Coturnix japonica: one gene and its partners. The main gene of each other region encodes a partner of the protein of the gene in region 5 in a complex. Links are inferred from orthologs where the notes say so. Each region holds a gene or a part of one and is shown on either strand. Other genes may lie near its edges.

The links.
Region 1: RNF113A (region 5) and CWC15 share a complex: the UniProt entries of both Homo sapiens proteins name them as parts of the minor spliceosome. The link is inferred for Coturnix japonica from reciprocal best matches to the Homo sapiens genes RNF113A and CWC15.
Region 2: RNF113A (region 5) and SNRPD3 share a complex: the UniProt entries of both Homo sapiens proteins name them as parts of the minor spliceosome. The link is inferred for Coturnix japonica from reciprocal best matches to the Homo sapiens genes RNF113A and SNRPD3.
Region 3: RNF113A (region 5) and SNRPE share a complex: the UniProt entries of both Homo sapiens proteins name them as parts of the minor spliceosome. The link is inferred for Coturnix japonica from reciprocal best matches to the Homo sapiens genes RNF113A and SNRPE.
Region 4: RNF113A (region 5) and SNRPD1 share a complex: the UniProt entries of both Homo sapiens proteins name them as parts of the minor spliceosome. The link is inferred for Coturnix japonica from reciprocal best matches to the Homo sapiens genes RNF113A and SNRPD1.
Region 6: RNF113A (region 5) and BUD13 share a complex: the UniProt entries of both Homo sapiens proteins name them as parts of the minor spliceosome. The link is inferred for Coturnix japonica from reciprocal best matches to the Homo sapiens genes RNF113A and BUD13.
Region 7: RNF113A (region 5) and SNIP1 share a complex: the UniProt entries of both Homo sapiens proteins name them as parts of the minor spliceosome. The link is inferred for Coturnix japonica from reciprocal best matches to the Homo sapiens genes RNF113A and SNIP1.

What each region holds. Positions count from the first base shown.
Region 1 is NC_029516.1:165,900,092-165,904,367, forward strand, and holds the start of CWC15 (spliceosome-associated protein CWC15 homolog), read left to right. Parts: upstream 1-1,476; 5' UTR 1,477-1,499; intron 1,500-1,533; exon of another isoform or gene 1,534-1,645; intron 1,646-2,840; 5' UTR 2,841-2,848; coding exon 2,849-2,979; intron 2,980-4,276. UniProt on the Homo sapiens protein: Involved in pre-mRNA splicing as component of the spliceosome. Component of the PRP19-CDC5L complex that forms an integral part of the spliceosome and is required for activating pre-mRNA splicing.
Region 2 is NC_029530.1:7,447,982-7,452,040, forward strand, and holds the start of SNRPD3 (small nuclear ribonucleoprotein Sm D3), read right to left. Parts: upstream 2,801-4,059; 5' UTR 2,684-2,800; intron 2,406-2,683; 5' UTR 2,382-2,405; coding exon 2,256-2,381; intron 1,571-2,255; coding exon 1,381-1,570; intron 478-1,380; coding exon 416-477; 3' UTR 1-415. Other genes in the region: protein GUCD1, read left to right, coding at 2,806-3,016. UniProt on the Homo sapiens protein: Plays a role in pre-mRNA splicing as a core component of the spliceosomal U1, U2, U4 and U5 small nuclear ribonucleoproteins (snRNPs), the building blocks of the spliceosome.
Region 3 is NC_029541.1:2,015,940-2,020,095, reverse strand, and holds SNRPE (small nuclear ribonucleoprotein E), read right to left. Parts: upstream 2,791-4,156; 5' UTR 2,685-2,790; coding exon 2,631-2,684; intron 2,099-2,630; coding exon 2,072-2,098; intron 1,690-2,071; coding exon 1,627-1,689; intron 1,534-1,626; coding exon 1,455-1,533; intron 779-1,454; coding exon 723-778; 3' UTR 501-722; downstream 1-500. Other genes in the region: MTCH1 (mitochondrial carrier homolog 1), read left to right, coding at 2,891-3,088. UniProt on the Homo sapiens protein: Plays a role in pre-mRNA splicing as a core component of the spliceosomal U1, U2, U4 and U5 small nuclear ribonucleoproteins (snRNPs), the building blocks of the spliceosome.
Region 4 is NC_029517.1:39,382,146-39,386,108, forward strand, and holds the start of SNRPD1 (small nuclear ribonucleoprotein Sm D1), read right to left. Parts: upstream 2,801-3,963; 5' UTR 2,624-2,800; coding exon 2,610-2,623; intron 2,058-2,609; coding exon 1,981-2,057; intron 892-1,980; coding exon 700-891; intron 1-699. UniProt on the Homo sapiens protein: Plays a role in pre-mRNA splicing as a core component of the spliceosomal U1, U2, U4 and U5 small nuclear ribonucleoproteins (snRNPs), the building blocks of the spliceosome.
Region 5 is NC_029542.1:2,229,085-2,233,238, forward strand, and holds the start of RNF113A (E3 ubiquitin-protein ligase RNF113A), read left to right. Parts: upstream 1-1,354; 5' UTR 1,355-1,418; coding exon 1,419-1,518; intron 1,519-1,734; coding exon 1,735-1,811; intron 1,812-1,907; coding exon 1,908-2,012; intron 2,013-2,892; coding exon 2,893-3,000; intron 3,001-3,276; coding exon 3,277-3,386; intron 3,387-3,600; coding exon 3,601-3,707; intron 3,708-4,116; coding exon 4,117-4,154. UniProt on the Homo sapiens protein: Required for pre-mRNA splicing as component of the spliceosome. As a component of the minor spliceosome, involved in the splicing of U12-type introns in pre-mRNAs. E3 ubiquitin-protein ligase that catalyzes the transfer of ubiquitin onto target proteins.
Region 6 is NC_029539.1:4,398,579-4,402,173, forward strand, and holds the end of BUD13 (BUD13 homolog), read right to left. Parts: intron 3,541-3,595; coding exon 3,447-3,540; intron 3,111-3,446; coding exon 3,005-3,110; intron 2,626-3,004; coding exon 2,487-2,625; intron 2,266-2,486; coding exon 2,081-2,265; intron 1,930-2,080; coding exon 1,848-1,929; intron 1,511-1,847; coding exon 1,417-1,510; 3' UTR 501-1,416; downstream 1-500. UniProt on the Homo sapiens protein: Involved in pre-mRNA splicing as component of the activated spliceosome. As a component of the minor spliceosome, involved in the splicing of U12-type introns in pre-mRNAs.
Region 7 is NC_029538.1:3,338,498-3,342,617, reverse strand, and holds the start of SNIP1 (smad nuclear-interacting protein 1), read right to left. Parts: upstream 2,801-4,120; 5' UTR 2,777-2,800; coding exon 2,625-2,776; intron 2,543-2,624; coding exon 2,446-2,542; intron 1,590-2,445; coding exon 1,006-1,589; intron 345-1,005; coding exon 80-344; 3' UTR 1-79. Other genes in the region: DNALI1 (axonemal dynein light intermediate polypeptide 1), read left to right, coding at 2,931-3,011, 4,012-4,120. UniProt on the Homo sapiens protein: Required for pre-mRNA splicing as component of the spliceosome. As a component of the minor spliceosome, involved in the splicing of U12-type introns in pre-mRNAs. Down-regulates NF-kappa-B signaling by competing with RELA for CREBBP/EP300 binding.

The DNA of each region.
Region 1 (4,276 bases), on a different chromosome or scaffold from region 5:
TGGCTAATAATTCCCACAGTGGGGCATTTTTGCCTAACACTGGATGCAGATACTGAGTGACATATAGCCCAGCAGCTCATCTGCATGTAAATATCACATGGCTAAAATTAATTGCTCTGTCAGAGCTCAAAGAAACCATTTGACTCTGCAGAAACAATAATTCATCCTCAGGGACGAGCTTGTGATAGAGAGCGGCAGAACTGTGTGCTCCTCAGTGCCACCCATGCCCCCAGCACCCTCCTCCCTCCCTTGCTGAGTGCCTTTCAGCTGACATCATGTTGTGGGTGGGGAACTGCTCCAGCACAGCCCCACGGGCAGCAGCTCCCCCAGCCCTCCTGCCCCACTGTAGGCTCCTCTCCACAGGCTGCACCCTGGCCTGGGGCTGCTCCGCCTCCAGGACTCTTCCACTGCTGCACAGTGGGCTCCTCCATGTCTGCATACGGAGATCACAGAATCACAGAATGACCCGGGTTGGAAGGGACCTCAAGGATCATGTAGTTCCAACCCCCTGCCTGGCAGGGCCACCAAACATACACCTTTACTAGATCAGGTTGCCCAGGGCCCTGTCCAACCTGGTCTTGAACACCTCCAAGGACGGGGCATCCACAACCTCCCTGGGCAGCCTGTTCCAGGGCCTAACCACTCTCCTGAGTGAAGAACTTCCCCCTGGTATGATAGAGTGCGAGTGCGCGTTGAGGATGCCTAAAATATCTTTCCCTCTTTTTAATCTCTAAAACATGTCCCCCTTAGTCCTGCTATTATCAGCCCTTTCGAAGAGTTTACTCCCGTCCTGGGAGTAAGTTCCCTTCAGGTATTGAAAGGCTGCAATGAGGTCACCCCACAACCTTCTCTTCTCCAGGCTGAACAAGCCCAACTCCCTCAGCCTGTCCTCATAGGGGAGGTGCTCCAGTCCCCTGATCATCTTCGTTTCCCTCCTCTCGACCCTTTCCAAAATCTCCATGTCTTTTTTGTACTGAGGGCTCCACACCTGGACACAGTATGAGAGATGCGAGATGTGCCTGTGGGCTGCAGGGGGATGGCTCGTTCCCCTGTGAGCCTCTCCTGGGTGCTTAGGAAGGGCCTAGTTCAGGTTCTGTGCTTATTTTTGCAGGGAATTCTTGCTGACTCGTGGATTTTTCTCTGTTGAGAATAGTCACAAGGTCTCTTCCTCATTGCAAAGCCATTGGCAGCCATCAGGAAGCAAAGGCAGACAGTGGAGCAGGAGCTGTGACTGAGCACAAACAGCCAAAGAACCAGCGGGGTGGGAGGCAGCCGGGAGGAGCTGGGATGACTCTGTAAGCACACAGAAAAGCAGCAGCACAAGGGTTCTATGGCAGCACAGCAGGGTGTGTGTACTGCTCACAGTCATACACGACTTTAAAGCACAGCTCACACGCAGTGCTGCTGTACCTCAGGGCGGACAGCAGGTGCCACTCAGGCACCAACAGCGTCTATTTCCACTTCATTATCGAACATGGCGGACTCAATTCCGCACTGAGGTAACAAGTTTTTCCGCCTTCCATCTCTATGGTAGTTCCTCCTTCCGCCGCTCCGCTCTGTGGTGGCTGCGCGGCGCCTTGTGGGTAGAGGGCGGGATGATGGCGGTGGCGTAGGGCCCGGCTGCTCAGCGGGAGGAGACCCCGAGGTCAGAGAAGGGGGATTGAAGGGATTAAATCGGGGCTTCTGAATGTGGAGGGTCGGCCCTGGGGTGGTGGGCAGCCTGGGGGGACACCGGGAGGGAGGTTGAGGCCGTGGGGCGGCCTGGACGGGCCTGGGAGAGCGCCGATGGAGGCGGCTCAGCCGAGCCGGCGTTGTGCGGCACTGACGGGGCTGCTCCAATGCTGCGCTGATGGAACCTGATCGGAGCAAACCCCTGGTTGCCCCCAGCAGCTCAGGCTGCACAGGGCTCATCCAACCTGGCCTTGAGCAGGGATGGGGCACACAGCTCTATGGGCAGCTGTGCCAGGGCCTCACCACCTTTTGTATGTCTCTTATTTAAGTCCTTAGGCTGTGCTTATGGATGTGTGTAGTTTCGTTTAACAGACTGAAGATGGCACTGATGGGTCATCCAGGGTGGTTGGTTGGTTTGATTCTTTTGTTTTGTTTGTTTCTTGGTGGACTGCCCTAAACTTTTGGCTCTATGGTTTGGGTCTGCGTGGCCTCCAGCTGCTTTGTGCAGTGCTGAGCACTTCTTGGCATCAGTTATATGGGAGCCATAGTGGTGAGGCTGGTCTCTTTTCAGTAGTGTGTTGGGACAGGACTAGGGGTAATGGGATGAAAGTACAGCATAGGAAGTTCTGCACGAATGTGCACAAGAACTTCTTTACAGTGAGGGTGACGGAGCACTGGAACAGGCTGCCCAGGGAGGTGGTGGAGTCTCCTTCTCTGGAGATATTCAGGACCTGCCTGGACGCCTACCTGTGCGACGTGGTGTAGGGAGCCTGCTTTGGCAGGGGGGTTGGACTCGATGATCTCTAGAGGTCCCTTCCAACCCCCACAGTTCTGTGATTTCATTATTAGATCCTGTGTTTTTTTCCAGAGGGGAAAGAATTACTCTTCTACCAAGATATAAGGATAGGAGACTGGCTCCTGGCATTTTATCCACTTCTATAAACATGACCTCACATTCTTGATTGAGTCTCTATCATCTTTCAGGCATGTTGGAAAAGAAGCTGTCAGTAAAAGAAGCTCTTAAGCTTTAAGGCTCATGCACCAGTTGATAATTTGTATTGTGTAGTGGGATTTGCTGTTGCTGCAGCAGTTCCAAGAATGACGTAGCTTCTGGTGAATGGCTTTCACTTTAAGTTATAGTAATGACTGTTTTTTGCCCTTGACTCTAGTAACTAAAATGACGACAGCAGCGAGGCCAACGTTTGAGCCTGCAAGAGGAGGGAGAGGAAAAGGTGAAGGAGACTTAAGTCAGCTATCCAAGCAGTATTCCAGCAGAGACCTTCCCTCTCATACTAAAATCAAATACAGGTAAGTATCGTTATTGTCTGTCTTATAGCAAAGCAGCCTGGAGCTGTTTTGTTGTTTTCTTTCTTTGTGATGTGACCAACACTCTGAATTTCTTTCACGTTAGATATTTGTTTGCTTGACATTAAGCAGACACAGAAGCAGGCTTAGGAGATTGAGTGGGTTGCAACTGATTTGGAAGGTTTAGTTTTAGTGGTGTCAATAACTGCTTGTGGAAGGGAATCAGGAGAAGGTAATCTTTACAGATTAAGCATTTCAGGCAATGGAGTGAAAAGAAAAGCATTGGGAACATACAGAGACAGCTGAGCTAGAAAGGTGGTGTGACTTACAAGATGGGATAGGAGGTATGAAGTTGAGTATGTCATATATTGGCAAAGAACCTGGGGAAGAGCACTAAGAAGAGGCAGGGCAATGTGTAACAGCACTCAGGCATTAGTAAGTATTGGAAGAGCTGATGTTAAACACTAGAAGGGTTCTAGAAGAGCCTGTTGCTTTAACTGGTGTGAAAGATAATGGGATTTTATATGAATACTATCCTGTGTTTGGAATGCTTAATAATTTATGTTCTTTTAAGATAGCATGAAATCTGGAGTCAACATGCCACAGGATTTAACTGAGTTGTGTCAGCCTGAAAATAGTCTTTTTTTCTAGCTTAAACTGTTGCTTGGGTTTTGCTTTCTTAGTGCAGATATTTACCCTTTCACTGCTTCCCTTCCACCCATTTGAATAACTTTGAAGGTAACATGGATACGGGAGGTGGGATGTTCAGAGATCACCAAAAGCAACAGCACAAAATGTGCTATTAAGGGAAAAGTGGCTGGTGGTCTGTCTCTTTAAACAGAGCGGGAGTGTGGAGCACCAGTCTGTTGTTCTGAAATGAGTGTGTGGGAAGAAATACATACAGGAATATACGATGTGTGTGTGGTAACGAATCCCTTTGAGTGAGTGTGTATGTGTGTGTGAAGGGGCATTAAGCATCTTAAGTTCATTCTCCCAAATATCAAATACAAAGTTGTCTTTGCTAATTTGCCAAGGGCTGCATAATTGCAAGAAAGATTTGGTATTTCAGTCCCACTCTCCCGTGCCTCTTTGACAAAAGGCCTGGGGGGGATTTTTGCAGCCATGTCAGGGATTCTGAATTCAAGTTTTTAATTGTAAAAGCAAATGAAATGCTTCAGCATAAAGACAGCTTGTGCACGCAGTGTATTTCTAATGACTGGAGCCTGGGTTTCTTTCAGACACTCTTATTTCCAAACCTGAGTTCACAGCAAGGTGAAAGGAATTGCTGCATGTTGTTATT
Region 2 (4,059 bases), on a different chromosome or scaffold from region 5:
CTCAGTTTGACTGTTTGCTCTGTAAATGCAGGTGATAACACAACCTTAAAACAACATTAAAAATTCTTCATGAAGAATAACTTCTAACTCTTTAGAGGGTAAATTACAGCAGTATTGAACAAAAAGGAAGCAAGATGATCTTTGAAACTCAATGCATCACACAAAAGTACAAAGAAATCAAATCCATGTCCACTGTTTTCTAGACAACGCACTTTGAAATCCACCTCCAACGTATTTGCCAGCTACAGAAAGAAGCCAGAACTCTATTGTGCCTAAGAGGAGCTCTGTCATATAACAGCAGACAGGGTTTTGTCAGAAACATTTATTAAACAGAAGTTACCAACATATATGTAGACAAGTTAAGAGCCCCTTTAATAATAATAATAAAAAAAAAGCATTTTGGTCAAGACCAAAATTATCTTCGCTTCTGGAAGATGTTGCCACGACCCATACCACGGCCTCTTCCTCTTGCAGCCACTGAAGAAAGAAAACATCAGGGATGACATGAATTTGATGCAACACATTTATCTCAACAAGTGACAAACCAAACATCAATAACTCTCAGTCTCTTCCTTAGAAGCACAGAAGTTAAGCTACAGTATGAGGCCTGGGAAGTGATAAAAGTAAATAGAAGTTTTCTGTGAAAACAACTGTAACTAACAACTACACAGCTTTGCTATTCATAACAGAGTATGCATTAAGAGCAATGAAATAGTAACACACCATTGTTCCTACTTTAAATTGTGTGAATCTGTAGCCAGAGAGATTTAAGACCTCCTGCTCTTCATACAGCGTGACAGAACTCGCTATATTTTGTCAGATGTTACTCCCCCACACATCCTTACTGCATTTGGTAGAGTTAACCAAGGGCTTCAGAGCCCATGATTATTTCTTGATCTTGTTATAACGAGACTGTTCACACAAAAAAGGTATTAAAGAGGATGAACTGCAGAATGGCTAACAGTTACTCATTTAAAAAACTTAAAGTATCAACCAAGTGTACGTATATGTGTGTGTGTGTGTATATATATATGTATGTATAAATATATATATATATATATATAAATATATATATAAATATATATTTTTTAAGCTTAAGAATACTTAGATCATCATACTTTGGGTAATCCAAACAGGCAGCAACCACATTTACAGAAAACCAAAGGTGAAGTTTTACCTAACTCTAGCAAGGCCACTTACTGTTCCTGAACTATCTGCAGTATCAGTATTGTGCATCAGTCTGAGTTTTGACTGCTGTCACTCATTCAGCTTCTTACAGCTCATCTTTGCTTAGTGTTAGGGATGAAAACATCTCAGTTTCTGTACAGCAAAACAGGAAGGTAAAGAGGGAACACCAGACCACAAACACACTGTACCCACCCTGAGCTTTGAGAATAGCTGCTTTTCCTCGGCCAGCTCCAGAGCCCTGGTTCTTATTCTTCATGCTCTTTAGCATAGGAGCGTTCTTCAGCATATCTGGTAAAATGAGAAACCGTATCTTGCTGCCTCTGTACACCTGCTCAAGCTGCGCCACTCGCCCATCCCTGTATGTCACTGTTATGTTGGACATCTGGAAAGTAAAGATCAGACAGTGGTCTCAAACACAGTTTGTTTTAAGTGGCCTTAAACATAGTTTTGTACTCCCACTACTCCTGCTCATGGAATATATATATAGCCAAGATTCAAGTAATAAACTCAAAGCCCTATCAAGCATACAGCCTTCAACTGTTATTGTTATATAAGGCATCTATAACCATTTAAACACAGTCTTAAAGCTTGCTAAAATTTAAGCAAACTCACTATTTTCCCCTCCTCCCCACTTGCTTAATTAGTTTTATTAGTTTTGTTTTCTTATTCAGATAGTTTAAATAAAGTTTTACTGGTCCCAGCTATTAAGGACATTTTTATTTCAACTACAACTTGCATGAAGTTATCAAAATTAAGGCTATTGCAATGCCTTAAAGTCCTCTGCATTAAGCACAGCTCTAAGCTCATAAATTAGAGTTTATTTATTATCAACAGGCAATAAACAAAGAACTGCTGAAGAGAAGGTGCTCACAGAGGAACCAGGAACAGGAAATCCCAATTCTGAGCAATTTGGTGTGCTCAGTAATCTGGAATTCACTTCATTACTGTAAGTGCACAGAGTAAAAGGGCTTTATTTATCCTAAGACTAAAAGTAAAAGGTCTTTAAATCCCGCTGTCAGTCTGCTGAGTGCAACCACTTCCAAACAGATGAGATAAACTTCTTTTACCTGGCAATTCATGTTGTCCTCAGCCTCAATGAGCTTCCCACGATACACCTCCCCAGTGTTGGTCTCGCAGGTCACAATGTGGCCCTCTGCCTCGTGCAGGACTTTAATGGGCACCCCGATGGACATGGCTGCAACACTGCGGCTCTACTCCTGGGACAGAGAGCACAACATAGAAGTGAATAAAGGAAACAAACTCCCAGTCGTTCTGCAGTTCGGCTTTGCCTACAGGAGCCGATTTGCTCCATTGAACAAAGGCCTCAGTGCTTTGGCAATACACGCCTATCCCAAGGCCCGGCCCAAGGCTGAGGGCAGCCCACCCTCTCAGCCCACATCTGCCGCCCTACGAAGCTGCAGGCACATAACAAACCCCCACAACAGACCCACCCCATAACAAACCGACCCTATAACAAACCCCCACCGACACTCACCTCCCACCAACCACCCTAATGGCCGCCGCCTTCCCGCCGTGCACAGAGCCCCGGAATCGGAAGGGCACAGGAGCGGATCCTGCTACTGCTCCTGTCCCTCAGGGTCTCGCTGCCTTATCACGATGGTTCCGCTGCACTTTTGTTCCTCCCGAAGGCAGCTCCCTCCCTCCCAGCTCCGAGCAGCCGCTTCGGGGTCCGCCCCCTCCGCAGCCGGGAGGAGCCGTCGCCGCAGCAGGGCATGGCGCGGCCCTAAGTCCGGCGGGGCGGGTAGTGAGCGGGCGGCCGCCGTCATGAGGAGCCCCCGGGAGCCGGGGGAGCCCCCTCCGCAGGCAGGTCAGTGACAGCTCCGGGGCCTCGGATCGGGGGCGGCCTGTCAAGCACTTGGTGGAGCTGAGAGTGCTCCGCCTTGTTTACAGCCGCGGGTCGGGCCGTGACAGCTCTGTTGGGGGTGGGGATGAGAAGCGGGCAGCGCTGGGCCTGGTTGTTACCTTTGAAGTCATAGTGTATGGAGAACAGGGACATCCACAGTGAGTTGTGGTGTTAGAAGGCCCTGGATGGTAACAGAGAATGGACCTGCTCATAACACAGCTCATAACACACCGCCAATGCTTACATTACTTCCTTCAAGCGGGATTTGAGGGGCTGTTTGTCCTTCTAAAGTATAATCAACATTGCTAACAAACACTGAGTACACCAATGGGTGTGTGCCAGCTTTCAAAGTTATGATTAAACCCAGTGACGTGATTGAGAAAGTGCACCGCGTTGTTGCTGCAATAAGCCGTAACTCAGTGAGAAAACAGTTTAAAACTGCAAGACATTGTCCATAAAGTTTTACATATAAAGCTGTGTTGAAACTGCAGCAGCCCCCAGGATGCTGAATGCTTTTTATCCCCATCTGAAAGCAGAGCTGACTCTGTGTTAGCAAAGGTTTCCAAGGGTCTGTACCAGATCGAAGGTAAAGTCATTAAGAAAAGCCTTTTATGATTAACTCACTTGGATTGTCTTTGAAGTTACAATGCCAAGCGGAAGCACTTCAGTCCATCAAGCAATCTGGGCTTTGCTGAAACTGAAACCACTACTACTGCCTGTAAAGAAATAACAAAGGATGAATTACTGATATTGCAGATTTTCTTGATATAGATTGGGTTTTGTCTCTCTTCTTTGGCCCTTTTACAGATGGTGTCATTTGTGAGCTGTCTTACCTTAAAAAATTACTCACAAAAAGACATGGCAGTAGAAGAGGCTGAAATCCATAGGGCTTGTAAGAAATCACTGCCTAGAGATCCTGGTTGTGTCTGTTTTTTACCCATTTGACCTATGACTTTTTGTTGGCACAGAATACAGAGCTGAGAACAAGCTGAATTGGAATGGTGAAG
Region 3 (4,156 bases), on a different chromosome or scaffold from region 5:
CACTTATGGAAACTTAAATAGGACAGATCCTTACATGGATAATAGTGATAAAATCCAGCCACATCTGACATCCCAGCACTAGGATTTAATGCAGAGATGCTGCCCAAAGAAGAAATTATAGATTTAATCCCAACCAGCTGCCCTATCTAATGATGATATTTTACCAAAGTACAGCTATTAATATAGTTTGTGATGTCGGATCACTGTATCACAGCCTCAAATCCATCACCAACCCACTGATCCACCAGAAAGCACCCAAGGAACCAGCTGTTTTGACAACAAAGGGTGGTAATTGCACGTAGAACCTCTAACAAACTTAATTAGAGCCATGCATGCTCAAGCCTGACAGTGACACCAGAGCCTGTCCTGTCTCATGTTGTAACTACCCAAAAAGCACAGAGCTATCAGGAACTTATCGGACCAACAGCAAATCACTTGATGTACATTTCTCTGCCTTCTCCAAGCATAGAAAGCTGAGAATAAAACCATGCAGATTTCCGTTTACAGACAACGTGAAAAATGTTTATTTGGGAAATACATCCCTTATTGTTTCAGACTACAAAAAAAATCACTCCTACAAAAGGAGGGGACTTTGAGCTCAGCATGCAATGCCAGTTACATGTAACTTTCTATCTACCAGCAGGGGTAGATCTCCCACTGCACCTTCTTCATTCACTCCAAACCATTCTGAACTGCAATCACTGCCCTAAGAACAGCGATTTCTAGTTAGAAACACTTTGTAGAAGAGTGATATTGTCTCCTTTTAACATGATCCGACCTGCAACACAGAAAGGAAATGGGGGATTAGAGAGATCCCAGAATCCAAGAATACCTCATGTTTTCACATATTATCCCACAACAGGAGATGCTTGCAAGAAGATGCCCCTATTATAGAGGGGGAGGGTTGCAATGAGTCCTATCCCTGCTGGCAGCCCCATATGGAAAGCATAGCAGGGCAGGGTCCATACTCATAATCCACTCCCAACTCTCAGACACCATCTCAGCCCCAGCAGAACACTGTCCCTGCTATAAACTCAATCCGAATCAACGCATCCCCTCATCACAGACAGCTTTATCTTCTCCAGCAGCGGTAAATAGTAAATACCACCAGTCAGGTGGCTCCTGCTTTGGCCAAGAGTTGACCCAGCAGGTACGAGAATTGCTCAGGGCTACCAAGTTTAGAAACAGCCCAAAGGAGTTTGGACCAGACTCCTCCAGACACCTCAGTTGTACAAAGACAGCATTTAAAAGATAACAACTGGTCTCAGGCACAGGGAGATTCTCCTTTACATTCAGCAAAATCATCACCTTTAACAAACATCAGGAACAAAGACTGAGCCAGCACCTGCCCAATGCTCTCCCAAACCAACACCTGGCATGTGCTTTCCACCTTTAAGTGTTGCTACCAGCAAGGCTCACCCAACCACCTTTCATGCTATAACACGTTGACATACCCAGCTGCTTCCTTGATTTTGTTTTGGAGTGAATCTCCTCTGCATCATCCAGCACCAGGTTCATATATTCATCGAAGCCCTGAAAATCAGTGGCAAAAACACTCAGTTGGTAGCACACAGACTCATGAACGTGGGAAAGCCAATGGTAACACATGGACATGTTGGTACTCACAATGATGCAGCCTTCTATCCGCATGTTCACCTGCTCATAAAGCCACACCTGGATCCTGGACCTCTGCAAAACAATCAGGGTGAATAAACTGGAAAAGAAATGCTTCAAGCAATGCTGGTCTTTGCTTCTGTGCATTTAAGAAAGCCTTGCTAGTAATGTGGTGAGAAATCTTTGCAACCAACAGCCACTGCAGCTCTGAAACACCCCAAAGAGCAACTCCCAACACAGAACCTTGTAGGTGTGGGTTATTGAGTGTGTGTTACACACACAGGGGCACAATCAACATACAAAGGTGTTAATGCAAAGGGAGAACGCTCATCTCTGAGCCAGCTCTTATGCTCCCAAACAGCACCAGTTCTTCGTTTGAAGCCGATGGGCTCCAAAAGCAGCCAAGAAGTTACAAACCCAAAGGCGAACCCAGCCCTGCCCCGGCCCCAGTACTCACGTTCTGCAGGTAGCGGAAGATGAGGTTCTGTAGAGCAGCGTTAAGGACGGGAACAACTCCAGAGAGACACAAGGCCCTGCAGGGCCGCTCCTACCCTCCACTCGCCATCGGCCCCAGAGACGCCATAGGCTCCATAGGCCCCATAGACCCCACAGGCTACATAGGTCCCACTCGGCCCCAGAGACCCCACAGGCCCCAGAAACCCCATAGGCTCCATAGGCCCTGCAGGCCCCAGAGACCCCATAGGCCCCACAGGCCCCATAGACCCCATAGGCTCCACAGGCCCCACAGGCCCCACAGGCCCCACAGGCTCCATAGGTCCCAAAGGTCCCACTCGGCCCCAGAGACCCCGCAGGCCCCATAGGCCTCAAAGGCCCCACAGACCCCATAGGCCCCATAGATTCCCCCATAGGGCCACACACCCCATAGGCCCCATAGACCCCACAGGCCCCATAGGCCCCATAGGCCCCACAGGCCCCATAGGCCCCATAGGCCCCATAGGCCCCATAGGCTCCATAGGCCCCGCAGGCCCGTCCCCTGCCCCTCCGGACAAGGATACGATGGGCTGCACCATCACCTTCTGCACCTTCTGGCCCTGCCCTCGATACGCCATGGCTACTCCCTGCCCGCCGCCACCACAAGCTCCGCCGGAAGTCGCAGAGAACACCGGAAGCCGCTGAGCAAGGCGGGAACGCGCAAGGGACGCTGGAAGACTTGCCGCTCTAGGAAAGCGGGAGGACCGCGTCTCTACTGCTCGCAGATCCCACCAGTGCTGTCTCGCATTAAGATCCCGCCCACCAATACGCAAAGAGGCGGCGCATGCGCAGTGGTGGCGGCGGCGGGGCCATGGCGGGCGAAGCTCCGCTGCCCTCGGTGGCGCTGGCGCCCCCTGGCGGCGGGTCTGGGCCTGGGGTCGGACCGGGCCGAACCGACGGTACCGAGGGGCTGTTCGTGGCTCTGGGCGCTGGGCTCGCCGCCGTCAGCCACCCCCTGCTCTACGTCAAGCTGCTCGTCCAGGTCCGGGGCCTAAAGGGGGTGTGGGGGGGATGAGACCCCCGTGTGGGGGCAGGGGGGAGGCCTGAGGTGTAGGCCGAGGTGTGAGGGGGGGTCGTGGGGCGTCTCTATGGGGTGACGGCCTGTGTAATGATGGGGAACCCCATAGGGAACTATGGGGACCCTGTGCAAAGGGAACCCCCCATATGTGGCAATGGGGGTTCCCTCCTTATAATGTGTTGAGGGGGGTAATGGGGGGTGACGGCCTGTGTAATGATGGGGAACCCCATAGGGAACTATGGGGACCCTGTGCAAAGGGAACCCCCCATATGTGGCAATGGGAGCTCCTTATAATGTGTTGAGGGGGTTAATATGGGGGGTGAGGCTGTGTAATGATGGTGGAACGCCCATAGGGAGCTATGGCGGACCCTGTGTAAAGGGAACCCCCCAATATGTGGCAATGGGAGCTCCTTATAATGTGTTGAGGGGGGTAATGGGGGAGTGATGGCCTGTGTAATGATGGGGAGCCCCATAGGGGGCTATGGGGACCCTGTGTAAAGGGAACCCCCCATATGTGGCAATGGGAGCTCCTTATAATGTGTTGAGGGGGTTAATATGGGGGTGACGGCCTGTGTAATGATGGGGAACCCCATAGGGGGCTATGGGGACCCTGTGTAAAGGGAATCCCCCATATGTGGCAATGGGGGTTCCCTCCTTATAATGTGTTGAGGGGGGTAATGGGGTGAGGAGGGTCGTGCTGTGTGATGGGGTGGCACTCAGTCACCGTTATCTGTGTGTATGGATCCCACCTGTAGCTGTGAGGATGGAATGGGGAGCACTGTGGGAATTGGGATATTGCTGCATCAGGGACAGCTGTATAACAGGGAATGGGAACTCATATATAAACATATATACCAAAGATAAAGACCAACGTGTGCAGTGGAGGCTTGTTTATGTGACAGGTGAGGGGACCCCATAAAATGGGATGGATGAAGATACCCACACAATGGGGATTCCTATATAACAAAGGATTGAATGTGGGTCTTCATCCCTCTTCATCCTCAGAACCCCTCTGTAATAGGGAACCCTATA
Region 4 (3,963 bases), on a different chromosome or scaffold from region 5:
CCAAATAATTAAGCATAAATTACAGGAGAAATGGCAAGCAGTTGCTTTAGAGCACGATTACCTTTAACTTATTTCTGGAAAGACACACTGATTAACACTGCTGGGCAAAACTTTTACTGCCTGAAGACACAAACTTTGTGGAGTTTACTGGATATTAATTGTTAACGGCGCAGAACAAAACCAGAAGCATTCCCTATTCTGTTAGGCTTTAAGGGCTTTATCCACAGGAACACAGCCTCAGCTCCCTCTGCATTCTGAAGCCCCTTCAATTCGGTTCTCCAGCAGATTGTTTGTATCCACTGCCAAGTGAGATTTCAGTCCAGCACCGCTCCTGAGGCTGCTCTATATTTTCTTATTAGGCTAAATACAAAGTTACACACAGAAACCAGGGAAACAGAGCAGACATTTTGAAAAGAGAAACTGTGCATCCCATTGGTGCTGCCTCTGAGAATGCCATAGGTTAAGATTTACTCACACTTAAAGACGTTTACACTTTAAAACAGATGCATGAGAAGCTGTGTAAATAACTTCTCATGAAAGGAGACTACAGACACAATGAAGGTACACAAGGCAGAGTTCGGTACAAACCCTCAGAGATGAAAGCAATACAGAAATTAAGATTTCCAATCACATGCCTTCAGAGCGAGAGCACGAAAACACAAAGTAAAACAAGCAGAGACTGGGAAATCATGCACTCACCTGCTTCTCTTTTCTTGGACTTGACTTTTGGTTCAACATCTACTAGCAAGGTGTCCAGGGGCAAACTGTCTGGTAGGATGAAGTATCGGATGTTATTCCCCCGAATGCTCAATGTCTCCAGCTGTACAGGCTCCCTGTTCTTCAGCGTCATTTTCACAGCCTTGAGATGAGTATTCATACTGACATCCACTCCTGAAATAACACAAGGCTGATTTCAGGGGTGGGAACACACAGGATGACTCCTCTTTGGCTATTATTAACTGTGCACGTGCTTCAAGACTTTGCTAACACACGCTTCTGGATCTGTGCCATTTGTTAATTAAGCCTCTTAAGTGGAAGAAGAAACTACATCTTTTTTTCCTCTATTAATTATGCTGATTTATCAGCTGCTGCCCTCAACACTGATATATTTCCAAAGGAAGAGCCACTTACCACCAGCTGTAGGGATCTGTTCCTAGGTCTTAAGTCATAGCAACACTAAACACTTAAAATGATTCCTCCGGACAACAAATAAACTGCCACTTACTACAAAAGCATAATATTTGTCTTTTTTACTCCTTTCAAAAGAAAGAAAACGAACTTTTGAGTAGAAAAATAACACTGCGTTTCCTTCTAAGTACAACCATGATCTTCTGATCAAACACATCTAACATCAGCATCAGAAGCACCAACTGCAGGTGGCACCGTGGCTGCAACAGGCTTCGTACACCCATGTACAGGGATGACTGTCATTTTAGAACCATGGATGGCACTGCAGGGTTTTACAGGTTCTTAGCACAGCATGAGAGAGACTTTGCTCAACAGCGAAGGCTGTGAGAGTACAAGGGTAGGAGGCACAGAGTGCTGCCACCACAGCCAGCTTCTAACAAAATGGACGGATCTGGCTGCAAAATAACGTGCTTTTAACCCTTACATCTCAGTAGATTGTAACCATGTTCAGCATTTACCATTTATCTGTGCTACCGTTAGAAAAATATCTCTCTGCCAGTGACTCAGTGGTGACTTCTTGATGCAACTACAGTGTACTGCAGCTTTACCAATGAGATCACAGAACGGTTTAAGTTGGAAGGGACCTTCAAGTTCCAGCCCCAAAATGTTCTGAAACATAAGTGGATAGGCTGTATGACCACTGCCCTTTGATACAGCAGTGACACTGTCTCACAATGCCTGCATGCTGCTGCAGTAATTTCAGATTACCACACTTACACCAGCCACGCCAGCACCGGTTTCCTTTACCCCACACAGCTCAGATCAGCCTGGGAGGCTGCTGGCACACCGTACCTGTGATGGTGCCATGCACCTGCGTCCCGTTCTTCAGCTCGATGGTCACAGTCTCGTGACTCAGCTTCATCAGAAACCTAGGAATTAAGCACAGAGTGTTTGCTGTCACACTAAGCCTTATGTCCAACCACATGCTGATACGGGGAACCGATCGATGTACATCCTAACGCAAACGTTCTCAGCTGCCATGAACTGCACTGAAGGTGCTCCATGGGGCAAAGCCAAAGCCCCAAACGGCGCCCAATTGCCAGGGGCTGGAAACGGTGGCACCGGGCTCAAGCAGCGTCGGGACAACGCTTCCAGTCACAGGGTTTGTGTTTTGAGCGCCCTGCGTGAGTTGGGTTCGGGATCCCTCGTGCATCCCGTCCAACTCGGGCTGCTCTCTGACCACCAGCTAAGCAGCAGCCATTTTGGATCTCGGCACCGCGTGAAGGCGCTTCCACCCGGCTCCGCCCCCAACCCCCCGGGGTGGTTTCCCGGGCAGCCCCGCTCGCAGGCCCAGCCGCTCGCCGCAGAGCCCAGGCCGCAACGAGGCCCCGACAGGCCGGGCGGCCTGTGTGTGGGGAGGGGGAGGCGGCCTGCGCGGGCTCCCCGCCGCCTCTCTCCGCGATCCGCCTCCATCCGCTCACCTGACGAGCTTCATTGCGCCGGCGGGACGGCGCGGCGGCCGCGGGGCTTTCGGCGGGCAGCGGCGGCCGCCCCTGGGGGCACGAAAAGGCCTCGGCGGAAGCGCCGCGAGCGCGGGCGGACAGGAACGCGGCCTCCAACGAGCGCACCGAGCCCCGAGAGATTGAGCGGCCGCCGCCGGCTGCGATCAATGGGCGGAAGCGGCGCGGCGGAAGGGGCGGGACGCAGCGCGACTGCGCGGGGCTGAGGGCGGGCGGGCACTGAGGGGATGCGCTGCCGCCATTTTGGAATGGTGGGCTCGGGATTATACGTATCTAAGCACTGTAGCTGTGTGCAAATAGTCTAGTCCGCACCAGCGATGCTTCTACGTTAAGCAGTTGATAAGGAGCTCAGGCACACAAACGCAGCGGCCAGGATCTAGAAAAATCAGACCTTTTATTATCATTGATGAGTACACTGTTGTGATTTCTGCAATACAGACTCTTTTTGTAAAGCACTGAGATCTGGCTGCCCTCCAGCTCTGAGAACCCACGTTAACCCACGTCTCTCCCTCCATCCCTACACACACACCACAGCTCTTCTTTTCCACATGAAATCTGTTATTTTATGTTTTGCTTTAAACAAACCGCAAAGAACCAAGTTTGAGAGGGCAGCTGCCCGAGAGCCGTAAGAACCATTACATACTGAGTTTATGGTGTTCCTGCACTTTGAGTCTATGACAGAGGTGACACTGGTAAATGAAGTCAGAGAGGAGTTTCCAGTTAACCACCAATTGGTATTCCCAGCACAGCATCGAGAAGCAGACAGAGGCATGGTGAGTACTGATGTTTATGTGCAGGTTATGCTCACATAGAACCAGAAGCCTCCAGCAACATTCAAGGTTAAAATGAACAGATAACTGCAAAAGTCTGTACACAGTTTCAGTCACAACACAGTGAAACACTGGAGTATCAGTGCTTTGTGTTCTAACCTCAGTAACAACAACTGTGCTAGCTCTAAGATTCTACACGTTTCTCCCCCCATTTACATTTTATAACTGCAATCTGAATATACAGCTGTACTTACAGGAAATATTAAACAATGTGCAGCGCCTTAAGCAAGTTTCACGGCTGGTTTTGAACAAACCATATAAAATAAGTGACAAAATAGTTTAAAATTGGTCCTCAAGTAGGATTACTTGTTTTTTATACAGCTTGGAAGCACTAAATTTAAAGACACACATTTATTGTTAACCAGCACATGTTATTTTGTAGCTTTTTAAAGAAAAAAACCTTTCCTTTTAAAGTGTGTTACATCATGCATGAAAAGCAAGAAGCTGCTCCCAAGTGCAACATGGCATTAGGGTGACACCTCCTC
Region 5 (4,154 bases):
GAGCTCAGCACAGCTGGGGAACCCCAAAATGTTCCTACCCACCCCCCTCTAAACACCGCACGCCCAGACCCTATTCACTCCCCTCCCCGCTCAGCACCGGGTGCGGACCCCTCTCCATTTCCCAACAGAATCCCAACCCCAAAAGGCATCCAGAGCTCAGACAGCATCCCCCGAGTGCTCCCCCACCCTAAAGTCCCTCGACCGAGCCGCCTCCCGGAGCAGAAGTTCCCCCCTGGAGGATCACACAGACATTTTGGGGGGGGGGGTCCCCCACCTGCTGCGCAGCCCCATATGGCAGCACCGCTATCGGGGCTCCCCACCTGCAGCCCCCATTTCTCCCCATCATCTCCGAGCCCTCCCACCCCGCTTTGTTCCCCTCCCCCATTGTTCCCGACAAACCCAAACCCACCATACCCCCGGGTCCGCCGCCGAGCAGCACAAGGGCTGAGCCCTCCCCGTGCTGTCCGTTGCTCTGTCCGTCCGTATCTCCGTCGTTCGCTCCGTCCCTTCCTCGCTCCGTGCGCGCTCCCCCCGCAGCCCCTTTTATCGCGCGGCCGTGGCGGCGATTGGTTCCTTGCGCGGTGCGGATCCGAGCGCCGCTCCTTTGTGTGCGGCCGCCTCTCCCTCACCCGGCGGCCCCCGCTGCCCCCACCCCAAAACCGCATCGCCGGCCCCATCCCACCGACCCCCCTCCCCAACCCCCCCATACCCCCCCCATACCCCCNCCCCCCATACCCCCCCCATACCCCCACCCCGCATTCTGCCGCCCACCGTGGGTGCGATGCTGCGCTCGGGGTCGCGAAGCAGCGCTCGGGGTGCGGGTACCACCCAGCGAGCGGAACCGCGATGGTGGATGGGGTTCTGTAGGGGTTCTGCTGGGGTTTTGTTGGGGTTCTATTAGGGTACTGTTGAGGTTCTGCTGGGGTTCTATTGGGGTTCTGCTGGGGTTCTGTTGGGGTTCTGTAGGGATTCTGTTGGGATTCTGCTGGGGTTCTATTGGGTTCTGTAGGGGTTCTATTGGGTTCTGTTGGGTTCTATTGGGTTCTGTTGGGGTTCTGCTGGGGTTCTATAGGGTTCTGTTGGGGTTCTATTAGGGTTCTGTTGGGGTTCTGTTGGGGTTCTATAGGGGTTCTGTTGAGGTTCAGCTGGGGTTCTGCTGGGGTTCTGCTGGTGTTCTGTTGAGGTTCTGTTGAGGTTCTGCTGGGGTTCTGCTGGGGTTCTATTCGGGTTCTATTCGGGTTCTTTTGGGGTTCTATTCGGGTTCTATTGGTGTTCTGTTGGGGTTGCTATGGCGACTCGCAATTCACCCTCCACGCCTGCAGGTGGCGCTATGCGGCCCGAGTCCTCCCGTCCAGCAGGGGGCGCTGTGCGGCTCTGCGCCCATCTAGTGCCGCTCTGTCTTGAGGCGGCGGCTCAAGATGGCGGAGGGAGGCTCAGTGTGCGGCTTCGTGTTCAAGAAGCGGGGCCTGGCGGCGGGGAGGGGGCGGCGGAAGCGGCCCAGCAGCGACCAGGAGCAGGGTGAGGGGCTGACGGGGGTGGTATATCCCGATGCGGCCTGTTGTGGTGCACGAGGGAGGCGGAGGAAGGCCGTGGGTCGTACAGCCCCTCAGTGGGGCCCGGTTATTGAGCTGTGTGATTGAGGGGCGCTGCCTCCATCCCCGGAGCCCCGCGGTCAGGCCCATTAAACCCCATTAAACCCCATTAAACCCCATTAAACCCCATTAAACCCCGCAGGGAGCAGCGGCGATGAGGGCAGCACCGTGGTGAGGAAGGAGCGACGGAGGGACGCCCCCAACCCCATGATCCAGAAGGTGAGGTGCACACAGGGCGCTGTGCTGTTGTTGTGTGGGGCACATCCAGCCTTCACACCCGCTGTCTGTCTGTCTGTCTGTCTGTCCGCCCTTCAGACCAGGAGGTGCACAAAGGAGCGGCCCTCATACGCCCTGAGCAGCAGCGATGATGATGATCCGTCGAAGGAGATCGGAGTCACGTACAAATCAACAAGGTCGGCGGTAAGGACTGAGCGCAGATGAGCTTCTGGGGTGGGGTTAATCCCATACTCATATCCCATACTCTGCTTCTGTAAATGTGCCATCAGCTCTTCTCAGTTTTGATCTGTAGCTGTGTTTCCCTGTCCCTCCCCTCCTAACACACAAGCTGGGTTTATTCTCCTGATATTCTGCATTGTTCAACAAGGAGCTCAGAGCAGCTCTGCTGGGAGGAAAGGTTGAGGGAACTGGGCTTGTTTAGCTTGGAGAAGAGAAGGCTCCGGGGAGACCTCATTGTGGCCCTAATACTTGAAGGGCAGGGCAGCACGTTCTTAGGAGGAGGTGGAGCCTTTGGGGTTCCAGAAGCTTTTGGTGTGTAAGATGGGTTTGTTTTTAATTTGAGGCTGGTTGTAATTATTTGGTTTCTGTGCAAATGAAGAGCTGACAGAACCTCAGAGCATTTGTCTGTTCACTGTATTCACAAGGAACCAAGACTAGATCACTGAATTAAAACAGAGCACAGGCTGCCCACAGCTGGGTTAAAAGTTCAGATATAACATCCTGCCTGTGGGCTGGGTGGTCTCATGGCTGAAGCACTGAACATGAGAGACCTGAGATCAGTTTCCAGCTAAGACAAGATGAAGCTTGAAGGAGTAAAGTGGGGATTTCTGTGTCCTGACTCTGCAAACTAAAACCTGGGAGCAGTCAGTAATTAACATCCTGTCTTGCACAAGTACTAGGCTGGATGCTAAGAGAAGATGCTAATAGAAGTTAGAAACTGCTGGAGGGTGAAGCAGGCCATGCCCAGCACTTGTTCAGTGACTGGCCCTCCAGGTAGCCGAGGGGTTTCTGTCTCATGCAGCCTTTCTTTTTACTGTTATCACATATTGTTCTTGCTTTTCAGAAACCTGTTGGCCCAGAAGACATGGGGGCCACAGCAGTGTATGAACTGGACACAGAGAAGGATAAAGATGCCCAGGCCATCTTCGAACGCAGCCAGAAAATACAAGAGGTTGGTCAGCCTCACTTCTAAGAGTTCATGCTATGCAGGAGTGTGTGTGCTTACTCATCTCCTTTTGCATGCCAAGACCTTGAGTCTTTTCTTGCCTGCATATTTGAGAGGTTGGAAGTGTTGTCTATGTAAATGGGGGGACTTGCTGGTGTTATTGACTACTTGGTATTAAGGAAGGTATGGCCAGGAGGGGAGGTTGGTATGGGAGAGATAAAAGCTCGCTTGTGACATGAAGATCTTCTGACCCCTAATTGCCTTTTTTTTTTTCTCTTCTAGGAACTGAGAGGAAAAGAAGATGATAAAATTTACCGTGGTATTAACAATTACCAGAAATATGTGAAGCCCAAAGACACGTCAATGGGAAATGCCTCTTCAGGAATGGTCAGGTAGGTTGGGACGAGCCTGGGATGGGGGGGGTGGATCATAGAACCACAGAGAATTTCAGACATTGTCCCCAGGGGCACTTTTCTGGGCTGAAATGATGCTGTTTTTGGAGCTTGTTCCTATCTAATGAGTTTGGTGTCTGGTTCTGGCCGGGCCCGCAGGGGTTTTCTCCATTGCAGTGACACAGCTGGACTGAGCCTTCTCCCACCCTTTCAGAAAAGGACCCATCCGTGCTCCAGAGCACTTGAGGGCCACGGTGCGGTGGGATTACCAGCCAGACATCTGTAAGGACTACAAGGAAACAGGGTTCTGCGGCTTTGGAGGTGAGTGGGTCTTGCCTGCAGGGATCCAATCCAGATGGTGAGCCCAAGTTTTGTGGCATGAAATTGCACAGTTAGTAATTCATGGGCACCTGTTTGCAGAGTTAGTATTTCCTCACCTGAGGTTATGTAGGTGGTGGGATCTCCTTTTCCTTTTCCTATGTGGGTGAATGCTGGAGCTCTTGCTGTGGCATCCAGAACGTGATGCTTGTGGCCTGTTGATCCTGAGAGGGCAGGATGAGGCCCTCTCTTGGCCTCATCTCTCTTGGCCCTGCCCTGTAGCATGGGTGGGTACAGAAGTAATTGGGTTTCACCTTGTACTGAGCAAATCTCAGGCTGCCCCTGGATGAGGTGTCCTTTGAACAGCTGGGCAATGGGGGTAGATTGTTCATCCCTCTTTTGTGCTTTCCAGACAGCTGCAAATTCCTCCACGACCGCTCAGACTACAAA
Region 6 (3,595 bases), on a different chromosome or scaffold from region 5:
GCTTCACTTCATCTGGATGCTCATCAATAAACTGCCACCTGAAGCTCAGATAACAGACCAAACAAACAGCTTAAGACAATAAAGAAAGAGATCCATGCTCTCTAAACAAAAGGGTCCGGTGGAGCAGCTTGGGAGCTTCTTCTTGCAGCGGTGGCGTTCAGTTGTGAGGTACAGTGGTGACACTCATTGGTAGAGCATCTCAGGCTCACAACCTTCCGATGCTGTTGCTATGTAACCCTTCCATACAATGTCTGTTACCAACCCGTTGTTTTTAGTTAGAAATGCTTTCTTGCAATCAGGGATGGAGCGCAGCGCTCTGCTTGGCCTCCAGCTGCAAGCTGGACAAATCTAATCACAAGAGAGAGGTTATGCTTCGTGCTGAAGCGAGCCCCCAGGCAGCAGCGCTAAGAGCCATCAGCAAGGCTGTCCAGAGAGAAAGCTGTAGGGACTAATCCATGACCATTAGCTACTCTGAAGAAAATAATGGCCAAGGGAAACAGTTTAAATGGCCTCTGCGTGTTTATTGCCACAAGAAATTGACCCCCAAGGAGCTGCTGGAGCTTCTGAAGACTTTGCTGTCAAATATAACATGGCGTGTTGTTCATTCAGCCATTTCTAGTAGAGAACTAGAGTTATATGTACAGCAAGCAGCTTCTTGCCACATACTGACCCACCTGGCACAGCTCCCATAAGGGCTACAGGAAGCTCTGCTGTGCTAACTTCACTGCAAGCCAAAGACTCCAGGAACCAGAAGGGTTAAGAGTTACACAACATTGAACAAGCAGAAGCTCTCTGGGCTCATTAGCAAGGACATGGAGAACATGGGGCAGACATAACATGAGCCCACAGGTAAATCAGCTCACAGTATTAAGTTGTTTCAGAGCAAAAAACACCCTCTGGAAGAACTCAGCCATAGCTGAAACCACAACCGTGTGCTGCAATAGGCCAACACACCAGATAGGATTAACCCTCCATGACTTAAATCCCAGCATGCTTCCACCATGAAATAAACCTGAGATTTAGGACATCTGAAGACCTGTCAACTGCCTTCAGAGGACAAAGCATTTGGCATAGAACATTTCAACACAGTTTCTACAGTTTATTAGTAAAGAAATAAGTGGGTCAGACACCAGTGTCTGCAGCACCTCATGAAGGAACACCAGGGAGCAGAAGTGTTCCTCTGTGGGCAGCAGCCACTCCAGTTTTTGGCACTGGTCCTTTCTGGCTGGCAGGAAAATCCTTTTCCAGCAGCTCTCCTCTAAACACAGCCTTGCTTCCAAGAAGACAATCCACTGGGATACTGAATGCCAAGAACAGTGCTTGGTCCAGGCAGAGGAGCCGTTACTTTTGGCTCTGGCAGTGGTAGCAGGCAGATCTCAATTCAGTCGTGCTGTTTCACATGGTTATTTCTTCTATCTACATGTCTTCAATGCTCCACTTGTATGCCAGCTCCTGAACTGCCTTCTTATTGGCCATCCTGGCAAAGAACTGCTGCTCAAATCCGTTGGACCTACAAAATAACACCAACAAGACCATGGGCTACCGTGCACATCTACTAAAGCCACAAAGCTTTTAAATGACATCACATGTTTGCCACTACTTTTGCATCAACACCTCCAGCTGAGTTTCCACTCTGAGCTGTGGCAAACAGCAGGCAGTGCCACAACAGATCAGAACAGAACCTGGCTCCCTTTTGTCCCAGACAAGCATGTCCCTACCAGCCATTCATAACCATGAGAAGTGTTAAGGTTGAATAAGTTGCATCTCACTCACTGTAAGCTCTCTGAGGCAAAAGCTCATTTAGTTTTACTACCATTCAATGACATCAGTGTATCAGGAATACCTACCTGTCCACCCCATCCCAGCGATACCCAGGCCATATATTAAATCTGTTGAGAGGAGGTGCTGGTCCACTGTACCTAGGTTTCTCTAGAGACAAAAACAGCAATACAGACATTGGTTACTACAATGCAATCTTCAGGACTCAGCTGCCACAGCAACCTCACACTGTTCACTGAACAGCAGCTGCATTTCTATGCTCCTTGGGCATTAAAACCTGCACCAGCACAGCTTTCCATACCTTTCTTCTCCTTGTTCTCTTTGGCTTTTCTTTTTTTGATGAACTCAGCCATGGGGTCTCCTTCTCTCTCTTGTTCTCTCAGCATTCGATCCAGATCTTCATCGTCAATGTAACGGGCCAATGGTTTCTGCATTTCTTTTATTGCATCTTCCACATTCTGCTGCTGCTGCCTTTCCTGTGCTAATCTAAAAACACATACAAAGTACCACCTCAAAACTAAGGAATAATTTACTGCCATCTGCTCAAATTGTAGTATTGATCAGAATCTACTGTGTGTAGCATCCCTGAGAAGCACCCAGCAACAGACAGGGTAATCCCACACAAAATAACCTGGTCCCAGGCACAAAACTCATTGCCAACCCCCAGTCTGCAACCTGTAAAGTGACATGTCACCAAGACACCTTACCCCTTTCCCCATCTGGCATATTGCTCATCATGCAACAACTTTGCTTCATCTTTCTGCTTCTGCTCAAGACGTTCCTGCACAAGGTCCCTCTTGCGGCCTGACTTGTCGCGGAAGATGGTTTCCGTGTGTCGGGATTCCTCTAGGGATAACAGATATCCTGAGTCACTCACGTGGGAATATTTCAGTTTCCAAACCACTCCATAGCTCATGCAATGAGCTATAGGTGTAACAGCCTGCTCCTTCAGATCAGGAATAGCAGATGGGGCAGATGAGACACAAAAGCCTCACAATTGTCTCATTGGCACCTCTTTGAAATCACCACTCATAAATTTCTATTTTAGAGACCCAGTGGCTTTTACCTGTGTATATTCATCAGCATGCCTGGATGCCAGCCAACACAGACACTCTCCATCAACACCCTTACTACCAGCATTTTAAGACATGCCCTGATACAGCATTAACAGGCAGCCAAAAGCAGACTAAAAGCTGATGTCTGTGCACTGGTTTCAGACTTTTACCTTCCAAGTGCTTGCTACTTCTCTCCTGCTTCCTGAGCTCCTGCTGCTCTTTCCGCAGCACGTCAGCTGACACCAAACCAGCTTTGACCCCAGACATCATCTTGGCCTGCAAATCAAACAAGAATCACATTTACTGCTGGCTGAGAGCTGCCCAGTGACTCACAGGTATGATAAGGGGAAGTTACACGAGAGGCAGCTCTGTTACAAAGCCACTTTGCTGCCATCTTTGCAAACAGCTTCCACAGACTTCCAGAAATACAGAGTGCTCATGCAGAGCTCATCTTCCATCTACCTCACACGTGGTCTTATGGCAAACTGACAGTGTGGCACAGCTGCATTTACAAGCTATATATCTGCTCTACCATCTGTAAGCCATCACACTGTTAATGATTGCTATCAGAGGAAGCAATCTTCAGCACAGACGGAAAGACAAACCCCTTACCTTCTTGGGAGATCCCTTCTCATCTGGGTAGCGATGATCTGAGAGATTGGAGGGACTCCTTGAACCACGCTGACCCTTTCCAGAAGGCAGAGCCCTTTGAGGATGAGAGAAATTGGAGCATGAAGACTTGCTCTAAACACATTTAAGAG
Region 7 (4,120 bases), on a different chromosome or scaffold from region 5:
ACATCTCCATCCCAATGCATGTTTTATTGTAAAAGATTCCTCTCCCCTGCTCCCCCATCCCCAATTGCCTTCATGTCTGTTAACTATCGGACTCTTCCTCCTTCTCCTCTTCCTCATCATCGTCCTTTGCGTTGGCCTCTGATTTATCAGATGATTCATGGAGAAGGACGTACTCCCTGCTGCTGAAGCCAAACTTCAATACATCCTTTTCTTTCAGTTCGTAGTAACGTTGAGGCTCAATCCTCTGGTTGTTTAGAAAAGTACCATTGCCAGAACCAAGATCAATGATATACGGCTTTACCCTGCGGCCAACTGTGCCATCAGCGCGTGTGTGCTCCACAAGCCTAGAAAACAAAAACAACCCATCAAGTCAATGATAACACATGGATTTTTCAACACATCAGCCCCACTGTTGTAAATACTTAACCATACTTCAAAGATCTGAGCAAGTACAATGAGAATAATTAGACAGGGCACGGAAATACTCAAGATTCTGACAGACTGCTTCACCCCTTAAAGTTATGATCATATAACATAGTAAATCCTGAAGCAGAACAGATGGTTGTTCCTTAAGAGAGCAGCTCTGCCTCCTGAAGCACACAACCCTGCTGTTTATAAAGGAGATCGGCAGCCTTTGTTGGGAAGGAACAAATGAAAAACCCTCCTTTAAACGTTCTTTATTGCCAATCCCACCTGCTAATAACTCCAATTCAGATATACAGGCAGTTCTGTATTTCATCCTGTTGTGTTGTGTTTCTTACTAAAAGTCTAGATATGGTTAAACCAAAAGGAATTATATATATGTTAAGAGTCACGAGGCTGCTTATGGTTAAACAAAAAGGAATTACATATATGTTACATCCATACCTAAATTCCACCTATCTAAAACCATTGAGCAAACATGCATTTTCTAATCTGTGCACATCCAATACGTTCTTTGATTCCCTTTGCACGCAAGCGACCAAATAATCCCCACCTACCAGAGGGATACAGAGCGATACTGACCGGTATTGGAACACAGCGTGTTGCTTTGAGCAGGAGGGATGATCAATGGGGATATCTGCTATCCTGCGGTGCCTGCCCAGGAGATAAGCACTCTGCCTATGAATGTACATGACAGGCAGGAACTCATCGTTTTTAAATGGATAGAGACGCCATCGTTTCTTTGGAATCCGAGCTTCTGGGGGCTCACTGTATTTAATCACAACGCCTCGGAAAGTGTTGGTATCCTCCAGAAGGGCACCAGACAGTTCAAAGCTTGGTTTTTCTTTGTTTACAGCTTTATCTTTTGGTTTGTTATCAGATTGTTTGTGTTCTGGATTCTGCTCAGCACCGCTCCCCTCGTTGTTCTGTCGATGCTCTCGTCTTCTTTCGTTATAGAACTCCCTCTCTGCTTGTTGCTCACGGATGTTCTGAACATCTCTTTCTCTCTCATGGCCTCGACCTCCAGGTCTTTCCTCCTTTTTCCTCCTGTCTGAGTGATCTCTGTGCCTGTCTCTGTCACCGCTTCTATCTCGTCTGTGTTCTTGCTCTGACGTGTGTCTCTGCTTTCTCTCTTCATTTCCTCTGTGAGGATGATCGTCTCGTTCCTGAGGAAGAAGACAGAAAACACATGAAAAACACAGACTGTAACATGGTACGTGTATATCTAGATTTATTTATTTCCTTCCAAAGTGAATTCCCACAACTTGGGCCCAACAATGCAAGGCTGACAGAGAGCAATGCATCATAACATCAGCCTTCAGGGTCAGCCTGCAGGCTGGGCTCACTTAAAGGCACAAATACTCATTTTCTTACAGGAATAACAGGGGCTGGGCTCACTAAAAGGTACAAACACTCAGTTCTTTCCAGGAAAACACGAAGCAGAGAGCAAGGAGATGTTACACTGTAAGACTCTCTCTTCCTTAAGAGTTATTCTAGAGGGATCAGGGGGCTGGAGCACCTCCCCTATGAGGACAGGCTGAGGGAGTTGGGTTTGTTCAGCCTAGAGAAGAGAAGGTTGCGGGGTGACCTCATTGCAGCCTTTCAATACCTGAAGGGAACTTACTCCCAGGAGGGGAGTAAACTCTTGGAAAGGGCTGACAATAGCAGGACACGGGGAAATGGTTTTAAGTTAAAAGAGGGAAGATTTGGGTTGGATGTTAGGGGGAAGTTCTTCACTAGGAGAGTGGTTAGGCCCTGAAACAGGCTGCACAGGGAGGTTGTGGATGCCCCGTCCTTGGAGGTGTTCAAGGCCAGGTTGGACGGGGCCATGGGCAACATGATCTATGGGGTGTCTTTGGGGATCTATGGGTTGTCTGTGGGGCTCTATGGGGTCTGCATGGGGTCTGTATGGGGTTCAGTGGGTCTCTATGGGGCTCTATGGGGTGTCTATGGGATCTCTGTGGGGATCTGTGGGGTCTCTATGGGGATCTGTGGGGCCTGGCCTCTCCCAACGCCATTTACCTGCTTTACCCTCACACCTCCATGGTGCGGACTCCTGCTCCTCCTCCCCCGCGGTGATTTGCTCCTCCGGCCGGATTTACTCTTCCTTTTAGGCGACCTTTAAATCAAGTACACAAGAAATGCACAGAACCTCAGGGTTACGATACAGGGCCGTAATAAGGCCCTATGAGGCCTCCTACCTGCTGCTCCTGCCCCGTCGCTCCTCAATGGGGGGGGATTGGCTCCCATAAGCCGAACGGGACCCGCAGCTCCGTGGGCTGCGCTTCTCGGCCTTCACCGCCATCTCCCCCCTCCTTCTCTCCCTCCTCCTCCTCTCACTCTCAGCCTCCATCTTGCTACCGACTCCCCCCACAACCGGAATTACGTTTTCACATCCGTGTTACCTCTCTCTCAACCACCCGGAACTACATCTTTACCTAACGCTCATGCGCCTTTAGAACAAACAACGGAGCGGCGTTTATAACCATAGCGACCGAGGAGCCGCCATGATCCCACCGCCCGATTCGCTGCTGCGTTATAACCCGCCCATGCTGGTGAGTCGCCGTACTGAGAAGCGATCACCAGAGGTGAGTGAATATGAACCGATATTATGGCCCATGAAGGCCAAAGGAATCCTATATTGTATCAAAACCAGTGTTACTAGCAGCAACAGGGAGGTAATTGTCCCCCTGTGTTCAGTTTTGGGCACCTCACTGCAAGAAAGACATTGAGAATACATTCAGAAAAGGGTTATGAAGCTGGTGAGGGGTCTGGAGCATAATGGGGACTTATAAGAAGAAGCTGAGGGAGATGGGGTTGTTCAGCCTGAAGAAGAGGCTCAGGGGAGACCTTATAGCCCTCTATAACTCCCTTAGTTAGAAGTTAGAAGGGAGGTTGTAGTGAGCCTCTAATCCATGATAGAAGTAGAGGGAATGGTTTTAAGCTGTGTCAGGGGAGAGTCACGCTGGATATTAGGAAGTATTGCTTCTCAGGAAGGGTAGTCAGGCATTATAATGCACTGCCCAAAGAGGTGGTGGAGTCACTGACCATGGGAGTGTTCAAGAAACATCTGGATGTTGTGTTGATGAATATGATTTAGCTGGGAAGTATTGGGAATGGTTGGACTAGATGATCTTCTAGGTCACAGAATGACCCGGGTTGGAAGGGACCTCAAGGATCATGTAGTTCCAACCCCCCTGCCAAGCAGGGCCACCAAACATACACATTTACTAGATCAGGTTGCCCAGGAGACCCCATAGAGACCCCATAGATCCCCCATAGATCCCCATAGATCCCCATAGAGACCCCATAGATCCTCATAGAGACCCCATAGACCCCCATAGAGACCCCATAGATCCCCATAGAGACCCCATAGATCAGGTTGCCCATGGCCCCGTCCAACCTGGCCTTGTACACCTCCAAGGACGGGGCATCCACAACCTCCCTGGGCAGCCTGTTCCAGGGCCTCACCACTCTCCTAGTGAAGTCTTTTCCAACCTTGATAATTCTGTGTTTCTGTGATTCTGAATGGGACGGGGGGAGCCCTCACACCTCACCCATCCTGCTCACACCGCTTTCTCCCTTCAGGCCTCACCGTTGAAGGGAACCCCACAGGCCTCCCCGCCATCAGGCCCTGTCCCTCCGTCCCGACCTCGCACTGCTGCCGCCTCCGCCGCCTCCACGAAGGAACCTCAGG